Lytechinus pictus: one gene and its partner. The protein of the gene in region 1 interacts with the protein of each later gene in a pairwise test. Links are inferred from orthologs where the notes say so. Each region holds a gene or a part of one and is shown in the gene's direction. Other genes may lie near its edges.

Region 1 (10,477 bases):
ACCATTAGGGGTACGAGAGAGTTCTGGCATACACGAACGCGATACTCCGGCTAGTGGGAACAGGCATCAGTCAGCCCTGATCTTGACTAAATACTGCCCTCAACTTCGGGCCGAAGACAGTACCAGTAGCGAAACTGAGCGTGAGAAGTCAATCTTCCGCCTGAACTCGTCCCTTAGTTGTTCGGACGAAGTCAGTCCTGCGATCAAGATGGACGCTCCGTATAAATCCTGCTTTCGGGGCCTAGATAAGCAACACTCTCGGCTTAAACCGATCAGTAAAGAAGTCTCGAAGGATTATCGGTTTGCCGCTCAAGACTTTGAGGATTTTTGTGCACTCCTTCGGTCCCGGACGTTGCTTTCCATGTCGGGGATGCGGGAGCGAGGAAGTCTAGATCGGGCCGTAACCCTCTCCGCAGCACTGGTTACTGCTCAGCCGACTATCAGCTAGCAGCGCTGGACGTGGCCGCCCGGAGCGGTATGAGACTCGCGCTGTACCAGGGGTGCCTGTTAACCGCTCTTGGTGAGGCTGAGCGGCTTGGAGTCTCTACCAATGACAAGAACTTATTGTTAGAGTCACTCTCAAAGATCGCTGATCTCCAGTATGAGCAAGCAGCAAGATCAACACTGCTACGCACGAGGGCAAGGAGGGCTAAAGTTCTAGATGCTCTCAAGATCGAGAAAGGGGCAGCCAGACTTCTCAATAAGCTTCCTTGCGAAGGTAAGGACTTGTTTCATGGACACTTTCAAGAAGTATTGGACGAGTCTATTTCAGCCAGCACCACAGCTGACTAGACATTTTATAAGCTCTCCTCGAGTAGACCTAGTCCGCCGGGCCCTAGACCGGCCCAGGGCCAGGCCCAGAGACCCCCTTATGCTAGCTCTAGCTCCAGACCCCAACCCCAGACCTACAATGAACATAAGGGGTTATCCCTCTCCTTCTTCCCTCGCTCTGGTGGCGACACCAGGAATGAAAGGGGCAGCGGGGAAAGTCATAGGAAACCTCGGGGTGGGGGACGGGGCCGCCAGGCCCACTTTCACCGCACCGAATTCAGGGCCCCCACTCATAACCGGGACTTTTGACAATCAAACACTAGTCCTTCCCCACCTTCAGCAAGTCCCAGTAGGGGGAAGACTACTTCTTTGCTTACAGAACTGGGAAAAGATAACCAAAGACATATTTGTTCTAGAGATAATAAGGTCGGGATACAATCCAAATTTCCCAAGAGTAATTCATCCTTCTCGTTTTCGACAACAGAGCCCCATACCAAGGGATCCTTCACGCCGAGAGGCTCTCCGGTCAGAAATACAGTCCCTACTCCAGAAAGCAGCTATCGTAACAGTGCCAGACCACAAGTCCCTCATCCTCTCATTCGTTTTCCTGGTAAAGAAACGCTCCGGGGGTTTCCGCATGATAATCAACCTAAAGAAGGTAAACAAACTCCTTCCAGATCAGACATTTAGAATGGAATCCCTTACAACCATCCTACCTCTGATAAAACCCAACCAATGGGCAGTCACCATAGACCTCAGAGACGCTTACTATCATGTTCCTATAGCCCCAGAGGCCTGCAAGTTTCTGGGCTTCAAAGTAGGAGACGTTTGCTACCAGTTCATAGCCCTTCCGCTCGGCCTAAAGCCTGCCCCAAGGATATTTTCCCGACTGGTGAGAGTCCTCGCCGCAGAGTTAAGAAGGCGAGGCATTACTATCTTCTGTTACCTGGACGACTGGCTCCTCCTCGGCCCTTCCAAGACCACTCTTGTCTACAACGTAAGCATTGTCCGAAAGCTGGCTTCGGATCTAGGGTTTCTGATCAACGAAGAAAAAGCGAGGTTCTCACGAACAATATCACCAGAGTTTCTAGGGGCGATAATATCCATCCCAAACTTAATAGTTCGCCCTTCCCCTCACAGAATAAAGAGGATTCAGTCAGTAGGTGCAGAGCTCTACTCAAACTCATACTCGCCAGCCAGAACTTGGCAAATTTTCCTAGGCCTATTAGCAAGCCTAGTAGATCTAATCCCGCAGCGCAGATGACATATGAGGCCACTCCAACTGCACTTCCTGAGACACTTCAGGCCCAGAATTCACCCCAGGGACCATCTTGTTCCCATGACAGATGCGATGATGCATGCAATTCATCTGTGGTCAGCATGTCGATTTCTGAACCAAGGGTAGCAAACTAAGAACACGAAACCAACTCTCACCCTAACGACCGATGCTTCAAAGCTGGGTTGGGGAGCACACATGGGGAAATTCAAAGCCTCTGGCCAATGTCAAGAAAGAGATTCAGCACAGCATATCAATGCTCTAGAAATGAAGGCGGTTCAACTGGCTCTACTTGCCTTCCTCCCCCAAGTTGCCAACCAGTGCATTCTGGTGAAATCAGACAACAGCACAGTGGTCTCCTACATAAACAGGGAAGGAGGGACAAGGTCACCTACTCGCTGCTTCCTGACATTGGAAATTCTAGCATGGTGCCAGAATAATCGCATAACCCTAAAGGCTTGCCACATCCCAGGGAAAGAGAACTACAAAGCAGATTTCCTCTCTCGGGGAAGTTATCTCCCGTCAGAATGGCAACTCAATCACTCCATCGTGGAGAGAATCTTCAGTCAGGGTGACCAGCCTCAGATAAATTATTTGCATCAGCCCTGAGCAAGCAGCTCCCGATTTATTGCACGAAGCATCAAGATCCCTCAGCCTTTGCGACAGACTCCCTAACAATCCCATGGAAGGGGATCCTGGGTTACCCCTTTCCGCCCTTTCCCATAATACCTCAAGTGCTGGAGAAAGTGAGGAAGGAAAAAGCTTACGTTCTCCTCATCGCACCTTGGTGGCCGAGGAGACCATGGTTCACAACACTTACAGATCTCGTGGTGGGGACTCCAAAATGGCTACCCCCACTGGTGGACCTCTTGAAACAACCTGGGACGGACACTTATTACCCAAACCCGGAAAGGCTTTGCCTAACACTCTGGCCCATCTCAGGAAATCAGCAACTAAAGCGGGCCTTTCGGAGAGAGCTGCAGACATGGCGTCTAAATTCCTGCGATCCTCCACCAGGAACACTTATGATTCTAGACTCCAGAGATACTTCCGGTGGTGTGGCAGTTTACAGATTGATCCTACCTCTGCCTCTTTAGGTAAGATAGCAGATTTCTTACTTCTATTATTTGACGAAGGTTTATCAGTCTCCTCCATAAGGGGTTACAGATCAGCCATAGCAGCCATTCATTCGGGCTTCTCTAATGGGGAGACTATCTCAAATTCAGTTGTCCTTGCCAGAATAACAAGATCCTTTTTCTTACAGAATCCTAGCCGAAGACTCTTCCCCAAATGGGACCTTCCACGGGTCCTTCGGGCCCTAGCCTAATCCCCCTTTGAACCCATGCATAAATGCTCCCTCCTTGATCTGTCCATTAAGACAGCCTTCTTAATGGCTATAGCTTCAGGTCAAAGACGTAGTTTGCTTCATGCACTCACGGTAAGGCCGGGTCATATCCGTTGGGAGAAGGACAGAGCTAAGAATAAAAAAGAAACCTCTAAACCCTGTGAAATTGTTCTTTCAGCCATTAGCAATCTCTCGTCAGTTTCCAAAGATAGGTTATGGTGTCCCGTACGTGCCTTAAAGTGGTTCATTGATAGGACTAAGTGTATTCGCACTTCCCATCAACTGTTCATTAGTTCAATAGAACCTCACGGCCCTGTTAGTCCAATTACAATTTCTCGATGGTTAGTGCAGGGGATCAGGTCGGGTGGAGAGGGCGCCATATTACACGGGGCATAGCAGCATCTTGGGTGCTCTTTCAGGGTACCTCTATGGAGGAGATCCTCCAGGCAGCCCTATTGGACCAATTCCAATACCTTTGTATCTTATTACTTATCTGATGTAATTAGCCGAGACACAGGTTTTGCCTCCGCGGTTCTGTCTTGTCCTAATCGTTCCTAGACTATTTCCAGTTGATATATTTCTTTAACGAGGTTGATGATATTTATATCCCTTTATTCCTAGAGTAGCTTCTCCAGTTGGGAGACTACTCTTTTTTATAGTCAATCAGTTTTTTGTATCGTTGTTATGCTAACATGTCTGGGAAGGGTCTCATTGCTGCCCCTCCTCCAGTTTTTTTTTCTGTGCTATTCTAGCAATTTGATGAGATGGTATAGGTAAGTATAGCGCAGTGTAGTAAATCAGAATGCTCAGTAGTGAGCATATTATTTATTATATCATACATTGAGTAAATCCTGTATAGTGATTGGTTCAAGTAGCATCATGTGACCGAATATATTTCAACTATGATGTTGCGTGACGTCAGACCTCGATATATTTTTGGATATATCGAGGTCTGACGTCATTATTTCACAAAACTGGATATCTAGCTAAACCTATGAGCTAAACTCTCGGGCGTACCGGCCAGCGCGCTCTCTCTCCCGGGCAAGTCCAGCGATGCGTCGGCGCAGGCTCTAATCTGCGTTCCGCTGAGCGCGATATGGCTCGGAGAAAAGTAGGTAATTCAACTCAAGTAACCGGACTTTTAATAAATTATTAAAAGTAGGATATAAAACAAATATATCAGGCGTTTCATTCGAAAGCATAGTGGGAATTATTAATCCTCGGTTGGACTGGCAAAACTACTATATTTCCCTCGGGGCTTCGCCATAGTACTTGCCAGACCAACCTTGGATAAATAATTCCACTATACTTTCTCAAAGCCTGATATATTTGTTTACTAACAAGCTATACTTACCTATAACTCCCCACCCGTCCTCCCCAGCAGACTTCGCCCCTCCTTGGCTACGAAAGAGGAGGCTTATATGTGGTGAGCGGGTTTTATGGGTCTCGTTCCGTGACGGGTTTCCCGGGCTACCTGATTGCAGTTAGCCTCTTTCGGGGAGTTTTTTACCGGTGGCTATTCGAGTCAGGGTAACGATTAGCAATTTGATGAGATGGTATAGGTAAGTATAGCTTGTTAGTAAATAATATGCTCACTACTGAGCATTCTGGTCGTTCCATATCGGTAAGTGTGTGGACCAATGCGGAACAATGCTTGAAGCGTTGTTCCAAAATATTAGAATTTCTCAATTCCCGTCACAACGAATTTCGGGAATGTTGGCGTGAACTATTCGTAAACTTTACACAACCTCGTTGGGCCAAGTCGTGCTGTAGCATGGATTGCATGATTTCATGACTATTTCACGACAATAGGTGACGCATACTTCCTCCAAATCTCAGAAATGCTCGCTTAAAAAGCATACACATGCACATTTTGGCTTTAAGGAGCCACAATTCATGGAGTTCAATTTTATGCTCCAATGAATAATGATGAATTGAATGATGTGACAATATGTGAACGATTTGTGAATATTTTGTGAACCAGAAGGGACCATGGCACGAACTATTGACAACCTTCGTGGCCTGCATTGTCATGAACTGGCATGATAAAATCGTGCCAATGTGGGAACCAAGAAATCGTGCCATTATTAGATTGCTCTTACAGATCAAATGGTGACATGAATTTTTAGAGTTAAAGGTACAAAAGAGTGAAATTTCAGCCAGTATTTTCTCACTTTTAACTGTTCTACATGGACAAATTTTTTACAAAGTATGCGGCGCTTATTGTATTTAGCGCTATATAAATGTTGCATATTATTATTATTGTTATTACACAACACGTCGGCATGAGGATTTGAGAAGCATATTTATGCACATGTTTTGCATTATTTTTGTTGTGAAAGTGTTTGGTATATCTTCATATCGCGAATTCAACAACCCGTGAAAATGTTGTGACCGCAGTCGCAAAAAGTTTTGGACGCGAAAATAACAGCTCAGTTTGCATATGACTTGTCTTGGTTACTTGTTTTTTTATGTCATTTGATGTGAAATATAATCATTTTGAAGCAATTCATTGGTCGTCTAATGCCAATTCGTCCAATGCCAATTCTGTCCACTATCCACATGGTATAATTGCCAATTCGTCCACTAACCATTTCATCTAATAACCAGTTGGTCCAATAGACATTTAGTCCATATGGTCTAATTGGACTAAGTGTGAATTGTGCAAAATGAATGAAAATGAAATGAATATTAGACCAACTGGTTATGAGACCAAATGGCCATAGACGAACTGGTGATTAGACAAAGTGGTGAGTGGACGAGTTGGCAATAGATGAATGGCAATTTACTGATTCATTTATTTTCTTTTTAGTGTGGACTTTGATAATATTAATTGATAGCTGAATTAATAGCTTAATTCACTGACTATTGCAATCATATTATATTTGTATTTTTTTATTCTTTTTTCACTCTCATAATTACGATGTCATTATTTTTTCTCTGAACACACACCTCATCTCATCTTATGATTTTTTTCTTCTCATTTGGCTTTCTTTCTTCCTGCCCCTCTGTCTTTCTTTCTCTCTAATTTTCTCTCACCGTGCAGTCAAGAATGTACAGTTACCAGTCGAGCTGAGGTCAGAGGGCAAGGCTACACAGAAGAGTGGGGAACTCCATCTTGTCCTGGATGGCCTCAGTATATCCCAGGAAACCCTGACTGCACTAGGAGCAGTCACCCAAAATGGTGAGACACAAACCAATCTAACTGGGGGAGGGGGATAAATTACCTATTTCCTATCGTACTGAATTCAATTCAATTCAATTCAATTCAATGTTTTATTCAATTCCAATAAAATCAATACAGAGTATAGAATACAGTAATAACAAATACAATGTGCAATGTGCAATAATAAGGCAAGAAAATATAAGGTACATGTAAATCAAGTATTAAACAGATACAAATGACAATAAAGAGATACAATATTGGAATTAGGTGGTCATAAAAACCTATCAAGGTTTGTCGAGATAACCACCCTTACATAAAAAAATAAAATAAGCCAAATTGAAATTACAAATTTGATAAAATGCTCATTTAAAATTTAATTCAATAACTGAAATCATTTGATAATACATGTACATGTAATACTATAAACATAAGTTAAAACACCTTTAACCGCACAAACCCAATACATAAACACACAAAGGCAGTAAAAATCCTTGCTTTCACACACTATTGATTAAATATAGTTTCAATTTCCTGCTAAAAGCGTTCGTTGAACTGATTGATCTTATTTCTATTGGAAGATTGTTCCAAACAGCTGGAGCATGGTGTCTAAATGAGAATAATACATAATTTTTATTTACAGTCCATAAGTGATATTATTTTTGTTTCTTGTATTATAATCATGAATATTAACATTTAAATCAAGCATAGACGATATTGAATTATGGAGTATATTATGTTTATGTTTAAAAATTAATATTGCACAAAAGTAGGAATTGAGTTGATAGATATTTAGAACATTAAATTTCACGAAAAGTTCTTTAGTGTGGGCCAATCTGTGAGAAAATGAACATATTCGGATTACTCTTTTTTGTAAAATAAACAATCTTTCTAGTTTTGAAGGATATGTATTTGCCCACACTACATTACAGTAAGACAAGTAAGGCAAGATTAAGGTATTATACAAAGTTAAAAGAATGTGTTGAGGCAAGAAATCACTAAGTTTGCGGATGATACCGATATTCTTAGATATTTTATTTGTCACATCCATTATGTGATTATTCCATGAAAGTCTTTCGTCAATTAAAACGCCTAAAAACTTTGAGTTACTTACACGTTTGATAACTTGATTATTCATTTTAATATCTAATACTTCAATATCTTTTACTCTATTATGTCCATGATATAATATATAGTTCGATTTATCCATATTCAAAGAGAGTTTGTTATAGTAAAACCATGCGGTTACATGAGGTAATTCTTGATTCAAAACATTATTCAAAGATTGTAGTGTAGTATCAGAAACTAAAATATTGGTATCATCCGCAAATAACAAAAATTTCAATTTGTCTGAACATTTTGGTAAATCATTAATAAATATTAAAAATAATAGCGGTCCGAGGATTGATCCTTGGGGCACACCACATAAAACATTTAATGGTTCAGATAAAACATTTTTATATGATACGTATTGCACACGATTTAATAAATAATTCTGAAACCAACTTAATACATGACCCCTAATTCCATAAAACTGTAATTTGTGTAAAAGTATATTATAATCAATGCAGTCAAAAGCCTTGCTAAGGTCTAAAAATATTCCGATAGTGTGTAATTTTTTATTTAGTGAGTTGATAACATAATCATGTAAGTTAATTAGGGCCATTTCAGTGGAAACATTTTTTAAAAATCCATATTGCACATCATTTAAAAGAGAGTTGCAGTTAAGAAAATTATATAATCGATTATAAACAATTCTTTCTAAAATCTTTGAAAAATATGGTAGTAGTGAAATGGGACGATAATTAGAGACATCATGTAGATCACCTTTTTTATGTACTGGAATAACTTTTGAGATTTTCATTTTAGAAGGAACTATGGCAGAAGATAGTGATAAATTAAAAATATGACATAAAGGATGCAGAATGAATACAATCACTTTCTTGATTACAACTGGATTTAAATCATCGATACCACAACTACTGCTACATTTTATATTTTTAACAATATCAACTACTTCATTTTGATTCACTGGTTTAAAAAACAATGATTGCAAACACTTATTGGGTAAGAATTTGGCAAAATCTTTACTACTTGAGCAATTACCATTTAGGCAGAGACCAATTTTAACAAAAAAATTATTAAAAGTGTTTCCAATATCCTTATTCCCATATATAGTTTTACCATTATCATTAATAAAATCAGGCAGACTCTTAAATACATGTACAATGGTGTACATGTATTTAAGGTTTCCATTAATAAGCCTTGCTCCAGCTGGTTAGGGTTTTCTTTATGAATAAACATCCTGAGAATGGGGATTGCAATAAACTTTTCAACAAATTTGTCTATTTTTGTGGGGCACCCAGCATGCTGAAAGGCATGCTTAGTATTCGCTTGCATGGATGTTTTTTTGGATGTATGGATGTCTCTTGTCAACCATTTCACCATAAAAAGGTGAACCTGTTCACAGCCAAGGGGAGGGTGTGATAGCTTGTTGGTCCAGTGGCAACTTCTTAAATATGGAACTCAGAAAAAGTAACAATTGACAGCAGATTTTTAAGGGAATCAAAGTGAATTCCAATCTTCAATTTCAAGTTTTCCTTGGAACAATGGTAACATCAGTTCGAATTCAAATTCAAAACATAAAATATGGATATAAACATTCAATACAGAACATAGAAAATCAGTCATCAATTTCAACAAGGATCAAATATTCAATATATTCAGTAATGCAATTATACCTCCTGATCAATCAGCCATAAAGAATCATTTTATGCATCAGAATATAGCAAAACAGTTTTTAGAACTTGTAGGGGATACTGAAGTTAATGTTGACCGTTTAAAATGTCGTCCTGTGAGGTTCGCCCTGACTGATTCAACTTAACTAGGCATTACATCACAGATACACCTCTACGCCTGAGTAACCCTTTCACTCGACGGACATCATTACTATCGTCATAATACTGTCATGACATCAACGTCAACTCCAGACTCAACGCCATTTACAGATGATAAAATACCAAGGCATAAAAACTACCTATCCCTTATATAAGGTTTATCTTTATGCACTAAATAGCTATCGCATATGGCCATGCGTTTTATGTTACATGTGCACGACAAGCACAGAAATGATTAATGGTATAAAACTTGAAATAGATGTGCTACATGGGTATATTTGGTATCACATCAAAGGGAATCTTTATACCAATTACTTGAAAGAAAAAGAAATACATGAGATTACTTCATTTACCAGTAATTAGCAATTATGTAACATCAATTGTCCATTTTTGCATGGTGGTAGACGAGGGGAGCATGGATTTTTATTTCATTAAGAAACTAAATATGTAACATCACATTACCTAAATATGTAATAGTTTTGGGGTTCACTGGCTTATTCTTTGATCATAAGTGGGTCAAATTTGAACTTTTAAGTTTAAAGGATACCTATTAAGCTAATTAGTATAATTAATTGATGTAAATCATGAAATTAACACGATTGACATTGTGGCTGTCTGATGTATAGAAAATGAGGAGAGATAAAATATAGTTGTAGGTTACACCTTCAATAAAATTTAGAAGCTGCAAAAATTCCAAAAGGAAAAGCACAAACTAATTAAAGACTTCAGAGATAAATCAATCTATTGTTAATTATGACCTCATTTTGACAGTATAGACTGACAGTGATGACTTTGATGTGTCTGAATCTTCAGATTATAACAGATAGCCAGTACACCTTTTGTGCAATTTTGATTGCTGAAAACTTGTTTGTAGAAAAAAATCCCTCATCTGATGCTACATGTATTTACTCTTTTTTCTTAATGTTACATCACACTGCGTCTATGAATGGTGAATTATCGGATGGTCTAATACCACTTGGTCTACTTATCAGTTCGTCCAACTTCACATAGTCTAAACTCATTTC
Region 2 (11,182 bases), about 43 Mb from region 1:
AAATAAATCTCAGTCTACATCTAATGTAGATAGAGATTTATACTTTCATGTTTGGTGGCCACTTACTCGCCCTTATTTCTATGACGTTTTACAGAAAATGAAAGAATCTACATAAATAACTGCACCTCGGATTTGATCATAATCATAATGATGAAGATATTTTCATTTTTTTTTTCAGATGCAGTATATACAATAAGCGACGTTTCAGAGAACAAACAAGAGAAGTCCTGGAACTGGTACACTTGCTATTTAACAATGCTGATGGCCAGATACAATTCCAGGTGAGAATTTTCATAGTGTTATAAACTCACTTAACATCCTGTCAGTATAAGTAATCCATTGATTTTCACTCACTACCAAAATTAATTTAAATTGCAAATCTAGTAAACAATGAAGTTATAAAACTACGTTGACTTAAAGTTATAATAACCAGAAAATATTAATTTTGAAATATGTTATAATTTAGCAGATATACATGTATTTCTAAATTGTAAAAGAGCATTATTCCCATTTTGACAAATGCTTGGTGTACTGCCCTAGAGCATTGAAAATTTGACATGTGATCATATTTTCAGCTGAAACTTTTGTATAAATTGGAAACATCTTATTCAAATATTTGCTGTAATTATCAGTGGTATATAGAGTGTATAAATATATTCTTGCACCATCATACTGACTGGGCAGGTTTTTGTTTGGTAAGGGCAATTTAAAATATTGAGTCTGCTATCTATCCTACAAACTTGATATTTGATTGACAAAAAACTTTGAAAACAAACAGATGATTTGTATATTATTTCATTTTACATACATAGGTTAGATCCAGGAGCCGACACGCTTGTCAGATGGGTCATTGATAATTCCCTGAACACCGCAGATGTGATCTGATTTGGTGACATGACAGTTGAATCGGTAGTGACTGGATTTTAATTGTGTGCCCTGGTTTTGAACTGTTGAAGTAACCAAACTAGAAACATCTTCTGAGAACTCTAGACTGCAATTCTGATGATGAAACTTTGTCTACACTTGTGAAAAATGTGAAGGAGTTGGCTCTGCCTCATGGCCTTTCAGGTTCAGGGCTCTCATCTAACTTTTTCTTTAGTTTCTAGCTGGGTAACTGATACCAATATTAATTTTCTTGTGATTTTGACTTCAACATAAGTTTAGTTTTAATTTTGATAGGACTTTCAAATCTGGTTTCAGTTTTAGAGCAGTGTATTATATAAAGAAACCATGTTGCTTGAACTAGTCTGTGCTCTTACAGTGATATGATTATGAACTCCTTCAAATATGTTTTATATATACAGTCAAATATAAAGTTCAGAATAGTCATTTATCTGCTATACTTACCACATGTTTAAATTGCTTATAAATACACATCGTCCGCATATGGATGCAAAAGAATTACCCTTCTTTATTCATTTTGTTGGTATGTTTTCATTTTACTTGGTGCCATCTAAAAAAAAATACTGCATATTCCTACATTTTTGTAAAACAGAATGTTACTAGCTTTATTGTGCTTAAAAGTATTGCATTGATACTTCATACTTACTTATAATAACATAACCATACAATTTAGACTGACATGCATTGTTTGATTGTTACAGGATATATTACTAGTAAGGGTGAAAATCATATTAGGTTTTCATGAATTCATCTTCAAAAGCCAGATGTGTTAATACAGACCCCCCCCCCCCTTCCATGAGTTTTTTTTTTGTCTATTAGGGGTGTGAGAATTCTTAAGCTGATTTCAGCTATTTTAACTTTTTATTTTCAGCTTGATATCCCTTTTTGTGTACAGTAGTTTGAGAGCTCATTCAGTCTCATCCCCTGACACTCTTCACACCTGGTTGATGCAGTTTTACAGTTGATGAGTCATCATTTTATTCTAGAGTACCCAACTGTTTATTTTCTAATGAATGATATTCAGGAAAGAATTAATACATGATTATTTTTAGCAGAAATTTTACATTAGCTTGAGGTTAAAGATACACTGCAGCACATGTTTTTTCTGTATATTTGTAGTAAGAATTTCACATATTTGTACATGATCCCACTAATTCAAAGATGTTACTTGCTAAAATCATGACAATTTAATGTAAAGTTTTCAAAGTTGGAACTAAGGTGTATTTAATGGATCTTTCTGTTTTTGGACTCTGGCAATAATTTGCTATTAAAAAACAAGTGTTTGATTGGAAATTGTATTGATGAGTGTATTTAGCCAATAACTTGAGAAAGATGGAAAAATACAAATCTACTAAGTCATTCGTATTTTTATTACTGCATTTTTTTGGTTGCTTTTGCCGCTGTCGTTCGGGATTTTGATTATGAATTTGTTAATAAATGATCCTGTTTGATACGAAGTTAAATAATTGATTTAAAATTATATTTCCTTGTTTGAGTTTCATTAGTCGATAATTTTTTATTCAAAGGTTTACATGTTTCCTTTGGTAAAGATTAGCTTTTAGCACTAATAGACTTTTTAGTACTTGACAATGTGTAAAAAGATGAAATAACTCTCAAGGCAACTGTGATCGACTGATTTAATTATGACATTATTTTAAAAAAAGTGTAGTGAATGTAATAAATAATGGTGATTATGTTACTTCTATTTTGATGGAAAAGAAATATACCATTTTACTTGTATATATGTATGTCAATACAAATAGACATAGAGAATACAACTTTCCTGCACCACTAGCATTGATTATATTCCAGTATTCTTGTGATGGAAGATTTATTCATTTGACATTGGAATATTTTGAGAGTAGAGTAACTTATTGAATTTGGTACTTGTTAGCAATTCTGTATTTCAAAATGTGGCATTCACAGACTAGGATTGCTGATTGTGTTAAGCAGGGCATGATATACAAATAAATATATTGTTGCATATGTTCAAGTTCTATTTAATGTATAAAATGATAAAATTCTGTCAATGTGTACCTGACAATTCACTTCTTATACATTTAGCAGTGCAATATTAGTTTCATTATAATAATTATGAATGTCGATGTGTTTGTCACTAGGTCCGATTATGGTCCGATATATTATTGAATTAAAGATATATTTCCATTGTTAACATTGTATGGAATTGGTAAAGCATAACCATTATCATAATGATTGATATGAAAAAATGTCATATTTTACTTGTCTATTTGTCACTTGCTGCTATGGTTTCATATGTTATAAAATTAAAAGAGTTCTTCTAAATTTATTTACATTGCTAACTTTGTGGAATTTGTTTTATATAGTTAGTATTTTCAATGATTTATGACAAGTCATATCTCTTATTTTGCATAAAAAGGGTATTTTTATATGATTTCCAGGGGAGAATGCATGACCATTTTGATAAAGGAAAACTTGAGTAGAGAAAGAGAAGGGGGCAAGAGTGGTTCTACTCGAAATTTGCTCGCTTTGTTTTGACAAATTCTTATTTTTTTTGGGGGGGGGGGGGTGGTTGGGGGTGGCAATCAGTCATAATTTACCAATTCTTGTTGCCATTTTAAAAAGTTAGTTCCACATTCAGTTTTGTACCATTTTCGAGGTAATTAAGTCTCAAAGAATAATTTTGAATAGCTAACGAGTCGGCCTTAACAGAGAATACCTTTAAGATTATAAACAACATTTAAGAGAAACTTAATTGGGATTTCATATTTTTAGGAGGGTGGAGAGGTTTAATTTGTAATGTTGCATTTTCTACTCCAACGGAGTCTTTGCTTAAAGGAGAATGAAACTCTTGGAGCAAGTTAGCTTTTGTGAAAGCAGAAAAATCAAAGAATAAGATCAACAAAACTTTGAGAAAAATAGGACTAGCAATAAAAGAGTTATGAGCATTTGAATGTCGAGATCACTAATGCTATGGAGATCCTCCTATTGGCAATGCGACCAAGATCTGTGATGTCACACACGTACAACTCTCCCATTTGGACACTGAAAATATACCCCAAAACATCTCTTTTTGCTCATTCTAATCATATGACAAACGATTCATCAATGATATAATGTTGTGAAACCTCTGTACTTGTCATCTCATAAAGAGAAGACCTCACCTTGTGATAGACTCTATAAAAGTGAGAATATAAGTGAAATAAGTACTAATTAAAGTAATGAGGGAGTTGTACGTGTGTGATATCACAGATCTTGGTCGCATTGCCGTTGGGAGGATCTACATGGCACTAGTGATCTCAATATTCGAATGCTCATAACTTTCTTATTATTCATTCAATCTTCCTCAAACTTTCAACAATATGTTTCTTTGATTTTTCTCTTTGATATGGATTCAGCTGGTTTCAAGGGTTTCATTCTCCTTTAATAGTCCTTTCTCAAACATAGAATTACGAAGACGAAATGTGTTGTATCTATTGTAGTGATTTTATTCATATCCTGTTAGGAAGTTTCCGTATATCAGAGTTCATCCCTCAAAAATGAAGATAATATCATGAATATTAAAATGAAATAGGCTTAAGTATAACACGTGTGTCTATTGGTCTTCCTGTTATAACTTGAAAAATGTAATCAAAGTATTCAAAGTGATTTTTTTTTAATTAAAAGAAGTAAATGTAGGCCTAATTAATCTGACATTTGGAATTGATTTTTCTTACAATAGCAAATAAAGAGATTATGTATATTTAGACCTCATTTATCGCATTGCATCGACAAGGCTATACGTGGGACTACGACAGAGCCTCTTCCCGTCACTTCGTAAAAACAAAATTGAAGCGCGTCCTTGAATTTCGGATTTTCACGAAGTGACGGTTATGCGAGCGGAGCACTATCCGTCACTTCGTAAAAATAAATCTAAGTGCGTATCGTAATATATTTTTTTCACGAAAATATGGTTCTGCTTAGAGCTCATTATCTTCTTAAATATTAAAGGAAAATGCAAATAATTGGACTTGAATATTGTCCAGAATATGCCCAATACGAGGATATGACATTTATCCACCCTGCATGCGTGGAAGACGTTGAGATTGAAGTCTAAACATTTGAACGCGATTTACTCAAAACTAACTTTTTAAAAGTTGCGCGCTCATCCGTCACTTCGTGAAATTAGGGACGAAGTTAGTTACACAAAAAAGACAAAATAACCATAATAATAAAAAAAAAACCTACCCACTTATCCTCCCCCACCCCCCAAAAAAGGAATGTGGCAAAGTGATAACTTAATATCAGTGTTATCTAAACAAAGATAGGTGATTTGGTAAATAAAGTAGACAAAACAAAATATACAAGCTATGATTATAAAATGGTTTCTCAACAACTATTGATAGGATTAAAAAACACAACTGGTTATCCAAGACGACATAAGGTTTTTAAACGAACAAGTATATCAAGGAAACTGAGATACAAGTTGCATGAAAAAATGGGAACTGGGGAGTGTTTCATCAACATTTTCATCCGACAAGTTGTCAGATCTGACATCTTTCTCTGATGTTGATTGGCTGAGAGGTACTGTTACTATGGTAACTGTCGGATAAAATGGGACTTGTCGGATAAAACGTCCGACAAGTCCTTTCATGAAACGCTCCCCTGATGTCTACAACCATATAACCAAAACAGTGCAGTATTATTTTTAAAAATGGGGCACTAAGCCTGTTATACAAAATATACATTATTAGTTATCATGTAACCTGTTGACATTTTTGAAAACCAAATTATAAGGTGAATCGCCACTTCTTAAAGTGAGCGGGCAACTTATTATTTTTCTTAGCTATCAAATATTCCAAGTCCTGTTGTCTTTAACAAATGTTTTAAAAAGAGCATAACTTGGAGGATTATTCTTAAATTTACATATATGAATATAATACTTCAAAAGTAAGAAAAGGTATGAAATGAACTTATCAGCTGGGAGTCCAAACATTTTTTCAAAATTAGAACCATTTATTTGAACATTATTTTGGGAAATTTTTGTTAAAAGGGATTGCCAAATAGGAATTACCCTTTCACATTCGCAAAACAGGTGGACTATTGTTTCCTCACTTTTATCACAGAGAACACAATTGGGTGAGTCCTTAGATTTAATCTTATATACAAAATCATTTAATGTTATGGCTTTATGAAAAATCTTAAAATAGAATGATCTTAATTTAGTGTCAATGGTTACTATACTCACACTTTAAGAGAGCATTAATGTATTCTTCATTCAGGTGATATTTTGCGAGGGAGTGTTTAGCGACCGAGCGAGAAAATGTTAGAATTTGAATATGAGCACATGACGACATGAATGGAATACTGTATTAATCTATTATATTTTTCTTTCCTTTTCCCCATTTTTTTAAGTTCCCGGCGAAACCCATTAGGGGGAGGGGGCAGATTGCCCCCTGTGACTTTTAATAACCAGTTATTAAGTCACATTTTTTCCAATCGTAAAACTGAAAAATATTGAATTTCCCAAAAACGTGGACACCGCCTTTAGTCGTAAATTCTAACGGAATCAGACAATGATTATAATTCTCTTCTTTTTTTTTTGTTTGGGGGGGGGGGGTTGTTTTGACATGCATGGGTACTCTGTGACCCCTCCCGGCTCCCCTTCCCCAGCCCCCACCCCCTTTCTGAAAAAATAGCTTATATACTGTAGCTCTTATTAAAAGCGGGGTAAAAATGGATGAAAATCATTTTTCCTCCGAGTCGTTGCGCCGCCCCTCGATCGCTCAATTTACTATGCCTCCCACTACTGGCGGATCCAGGGGGGGGGGGGGCGGCCCGTGCCCCCCTTTTGAGAGGCACAATTAAAATTTGTAATGTAAAAATGCCGTTAAAACAAAAGTGTGTCCCCCCTTTGAAAATGAAGACCCCCTTTTTTTTTGCTTGTCAATCAAAATTTTCCCTCTGCAAAATGTGCCCCCTCCCTTTGGAAAATCCGCCCCTGCCTCCCACCCCCTCCAAACAATTAAATTACCCTGTTCCTATCTTGCTCCCCCCCAAAAAAAAACTTGCAAGAGAGATACCGGTACTGTTATGTGTTGCTGCTGACTGGCTGGCTGGCAACCACCGGTCACCTCGACCACCGAATTTGCCGCTGAACTGTCGTCGCGTAGCGCTCGTGCTATCATCGCAGCTAGCTCTAGTATAGTACGTCGACGTCGAGGGCGCGCATTGATTTCTCAACATACAGCAATCATGGCGGCCACAAAGAGATTAGGGAAGGTAAGAGGTCAAGTTTTTCCTACCGCTTTTCATCTCAATAAGAATTGAGTGCATGAATTTTTATTTCTAATTTGCTCAGTAATTTTAAGAGCTACTTATGTGTCTGTGATTTCGTTGAGACCCATTGCAAATGTTTTGACGACCACTTCCACTTGGCTCGGTCTTCACGTCACACGGGCATGTCGGGAGCTACATAGACTCAGTACATGAAACATTAAACAAAACTCATTCACGTACGGTACCGGGTGAGTGTTTCATAAAGCTGTTCGTAAGTTAAGAGCGACAGTTCAAGAACGACTGGCGGTCCTTTCTTGTGGTTTATGTGATATTGGCGACGGTTTAGCACGTAAGAAAGGATCACCAGTCGTTTTTAAAGTCGCTCTTAGTCTTACTCTTAGTCTTAGTTGGACTTTTTCGAGTATTGGTACTCTGGCATTATCGTGGTTTATGTCACCAGTCCATTCACTGCCGTTTATTTAGTCGGCGGTGGTGACATCTTTCCACTCCCATTGACTTTGTACACAACGAGCGTGCACACACCGACACACACGAGAAGAGAGGTGACAAATTTTACGATAAGGCCGGTACTCTTAACTTATGAACGGCTTTATTAAAGCCTTTATGAAACGGCGGTACCGATGTTATGTGCCCAGATATATGGTAGTGTGAGTGTGACCTTAATTCGCGCGTTAGCCGTTACCTAATTTTGCACATGGTCGAATACTTCAATATTTAATTAATATTTTGAAAAACTGATATCACCAACAGAAAGAGCGACTTAATATTTAATTTTCTTAAAGGTAAGGTCTCAATTTGTTATTGGCAAAACATCGGCAAATTTTGTTAACTTTTGCATCCGCTCCGAGAAAATCCGACCCTCTCGACAAGCATCAAGAAATCGCCAGTTTGCAAGCCGAGGTCTCCAAATAAGTAAGTAAAATGTGATACCAACCGAATTTATGGCATTTTAACCTCCATCTGATATAATTATCTTACCTTTGCTTGATTTCTTTTCGAAAGCCTTGCAAAACGATCGTGCGCAAATTAAGGTCACACTTTTTTATGACACTTTTTCAGCCGAGCGTGCGCTAGTCGATCATCATGGAAATTTGAGATCGCGATGCCAACGAAACCCGTGACCTACTTTACAATTCCGTCAAGCAGCGAATTTGACTACGGGATCTTGCTTTCCGTTTGGTATTTATGATTTTTGATTAATTTTGTGTGAGCTGTGAGAAATTTTTTATTGAAAATCAACTTCATGACGATTTTTAAAATGCGCGCAAATTATGGTCACCCCATCATACAGTTGTGCTCAGAAGTATTCATACCCCTTGGAAAACCACATTTTTTTGCATTTTTGATAGAATTGGATTCGGTTACAAATCAGTCAAATACATTTAGGTTAGACAGCTGGCAGCCGTCTGTTTCGAGGAGTTTTTAAAACATTTTTAATTTTTTTTATTTCTCCTCGTACACAGACGGCTCGCTATCATACAGCCACCATTAGGGGGTTAACAATTCAAAAATTGACCAAAATAGAGATTGTTATTCCTTTTTGGCCTGAAACGCACCAAAACGGGAAAAAATAAACTTAAAAGGTGGAAAAAACAGTGATTTACTTCGGCTGTCGTGCAACTCCCACTTCCTGGTTGATCCAAACTTAATACATAAACATATGGCCATTGAGTCCCTGAATAGATCGAGTTAGAACTTGGGTCTCTGTAATTGGTGAGTGGAGCCAACGGAGTTCAGCGGAACAACCAACATAACAGAGTTATGTACAAAAGCATGCCATTTTTATTTTCACCTCATTTGCATATCAAAAGAATAGAACGTTCCTGGATTTTCTGATGTCCAAAAGTATTCATACCCCTGCCCTGAACCACAAGTTAATAAATTAAATAGCCTTTATCATCAATGACTGCCTCCAGACATCTCCTATAGTTTGTTACTAAGTTCTTGCATGTCTCTACAGGGATTTTGGTCCATTCCTCATTTGCAATCCTCTCCAAGTCCTTCAGTTTGCTATGCTTCCTTGCGTTGACCTTCACCTTGAGCTCTTTCCAAAGGTTTTCGATTTGGTGTAAATCAGGACTTTGGCTCGGCTACTCCAGTACGTTGACTGCATGCTCTTGAAACCATGTTTTGACCTTCTCCTTTGGATTGTTGTCCTGTTTGAAGATCCAATCAGGTCCAAGTTGAAGTGTTTCAGCAGACTGCCTGAAAAACAGCCCCAAAGCATTATGCTCCCTCCACCATGTTTTACTGTGGGCACTGTGTTCTTTGGGCTAAAGGCTTCCCCTTTCATCCTCCAGATGTAGGCGACATCTCTGTGTCCAAACAGCTGCATCTTCATTTCATCAGTCCAAAGAATAGACCTCCAAAAAGTTTTATCTTTTCCCAGATGTCTTCTGGCAAAGTCCAAACGTGATCTTGTGTGAATTGGTTTTAGGAGTGGAGTCTTCCATGGTCGTCATCCATTCAATCCTGCCTTATTCAAGGTCCTCTGGATGGTTTGCATGGAGATCTTGGTCCCTTGGCCATTGAGATCTTTTAGCATCTCCTTTTTGGTGATTCTGGGGTTGACAGCAGCAGCTCAAACTAAACATCTTGCTTGCCTTGCCAAGACTTTGCGCTTCCCTCCAGGTCTTTTAAGAATCTCCACTTTGTTGATAGTCTTGAACTCTCTGATGATGCTCTGGACAGTAGCCACATGAACCTTAAAACGCTTGGACATTGCCTTGTAGCCAAACCATCTTTGTGAGCATTCACTATTCGCAATCTCAGGTCGTCACTAAGTTCCTTTCGCTTGACCATGATGAAGTTTAAGCTTATTCTGATGAATTGACAAAGATCTTGCCACTGATTCTCAATTAATAGAACCAATGATATTTCTGGAATTAAAATACTGAGCTAAGAAGCTTTAACTAATTCAAGAATTCAAAAGAGTAAACATTATTGTTCATCAAAATACATAAAGCTCAAATTATTAGTAGAGTCTACTCATCTTAACTGTAAAAGCTAATTTTATGAGGCTGTTTCATCGTGTTCGCGAGCTTGAGATTGCCAACACCAACATCGAACTTGAAATCACAATTTTCCTAATTCCTGGGGGTTGTTGATGGTAAATGGGGAAATTGCACATAGATCGTCAACACCAGCCGCAGTGCTGGATTCAGCAAACGACATTCAACACCAGCCTTCAACACGAATTGCTGGAAATATGTCATTTTTCTGAGGTCATTTCCAACACAAGCATCACTTCAAGTACGGTGTTGTAACTGATGTTGGTGTTGTCTCAGCACCAGATGTCAAAATCGTACTTGAAATCACCGTATGATTGTGACAATCACACTGATAGACAATTGAAACAATGTATGGTTTAAATTCTCTGGTTCTGGTTGTTGGATCTGCCCATATACAAATTTTCTTGACCCTGAACTGTATTTGGAAAAAGATGAACATGATATTACAATATTGAAAAGACAATGAATTTTAAAGATTGCATGTATCTGTTCTGAAGCACATCCACAATCAATTGCTAATCAACAGTTCACAATGAATTTTGGGCCTACATTTAACTTACAAAGCCTTTTTTAGATATAGTGAGACAAAGTTCAGCAGCATGGACAGACAAATCACCCCACTTAGGCTACCTATTTCACATTCACAATGGGCGCGTCGTGGTCTAGTGGTTCTGACTCTTGTCTTTTAAACAAGAGGGGTGTAGATTCGAATCCTAGCCATGGTGAATTTTCCTTCAGCAAGAAATTTATCCACACTGTGCTGTACTGGACCCAGGTGAGGTGAATGGGAACCCGGCAGCATTAATTCTTTGAATGCACGAGCGCTGAAAGGCAGCTCGAGCTGAAGCCGGGGTAATAATAACAATGTGACTCACTCTGAATAGATTGTTTCTTGATAGATGGCGTTATACATGTACAAATGCCTCTTATTATTATTACATGCTTCAAGACAAGTCTCAAAGTTGTGCGGAAAGACTCATGACATGATTTCATTATAGTGTGTTTACAAT

What was found.
Region 2: the proteins of E3 ubiquitin-protein ligase Su(dx)-like (region 1) and ubiquitin-conjugating enzyme E2 L3-like interact in binary tests that used the Caenorhabditis elegans proteins (3 or more experiments, as listed by UniProt). The link is inferred for Lytechinus pictus from reciprocal best matches to the Caenorhabditis elegans genes wwp-1 and ubc-18.

The regions. Positions count from the first base shown.
Region 1 is NC_087246.1:43,901,385-43,911,861, reverse strand, and holds the start of E3 ubiquitin-protein ligase Su(dx)-like, read left to right. Parts: upstream 1-6,443; 5' UTR 6,444-6,576; intron 6,577-10,477. UniProt on the Caenorhabditis elegans protein: E3 ubiquitin-protein ligase which accepts ubiquitin from an E2 ubiquitin-conjugating enzyme in the form of a thioester and then directly transfers the ubiquitin to targeted substrates. Ubiquitinates klf-1.
Region 2 is NC_087246.1:912,113-923,294, forward strand, and holds the start of ubiquitin-conjugating enzyme E2 L3-like, read left to right. Parts: upstream 1-6,988; 5' UTR 6,989-7,116; coding exon 7,117-7,143; intron 7,144-11,182. UniProt on the Caenorhabditis elegans protein: Ubiquitin-conjugating enzyme E2. Accepts ubiquitin from the E1 complex and catalyzes its covalent attachment to other proteins. Required for diet restriction-mediated lifespan extension, probably acting as part of a complex with ubiquitin-protein ligase wwp-1.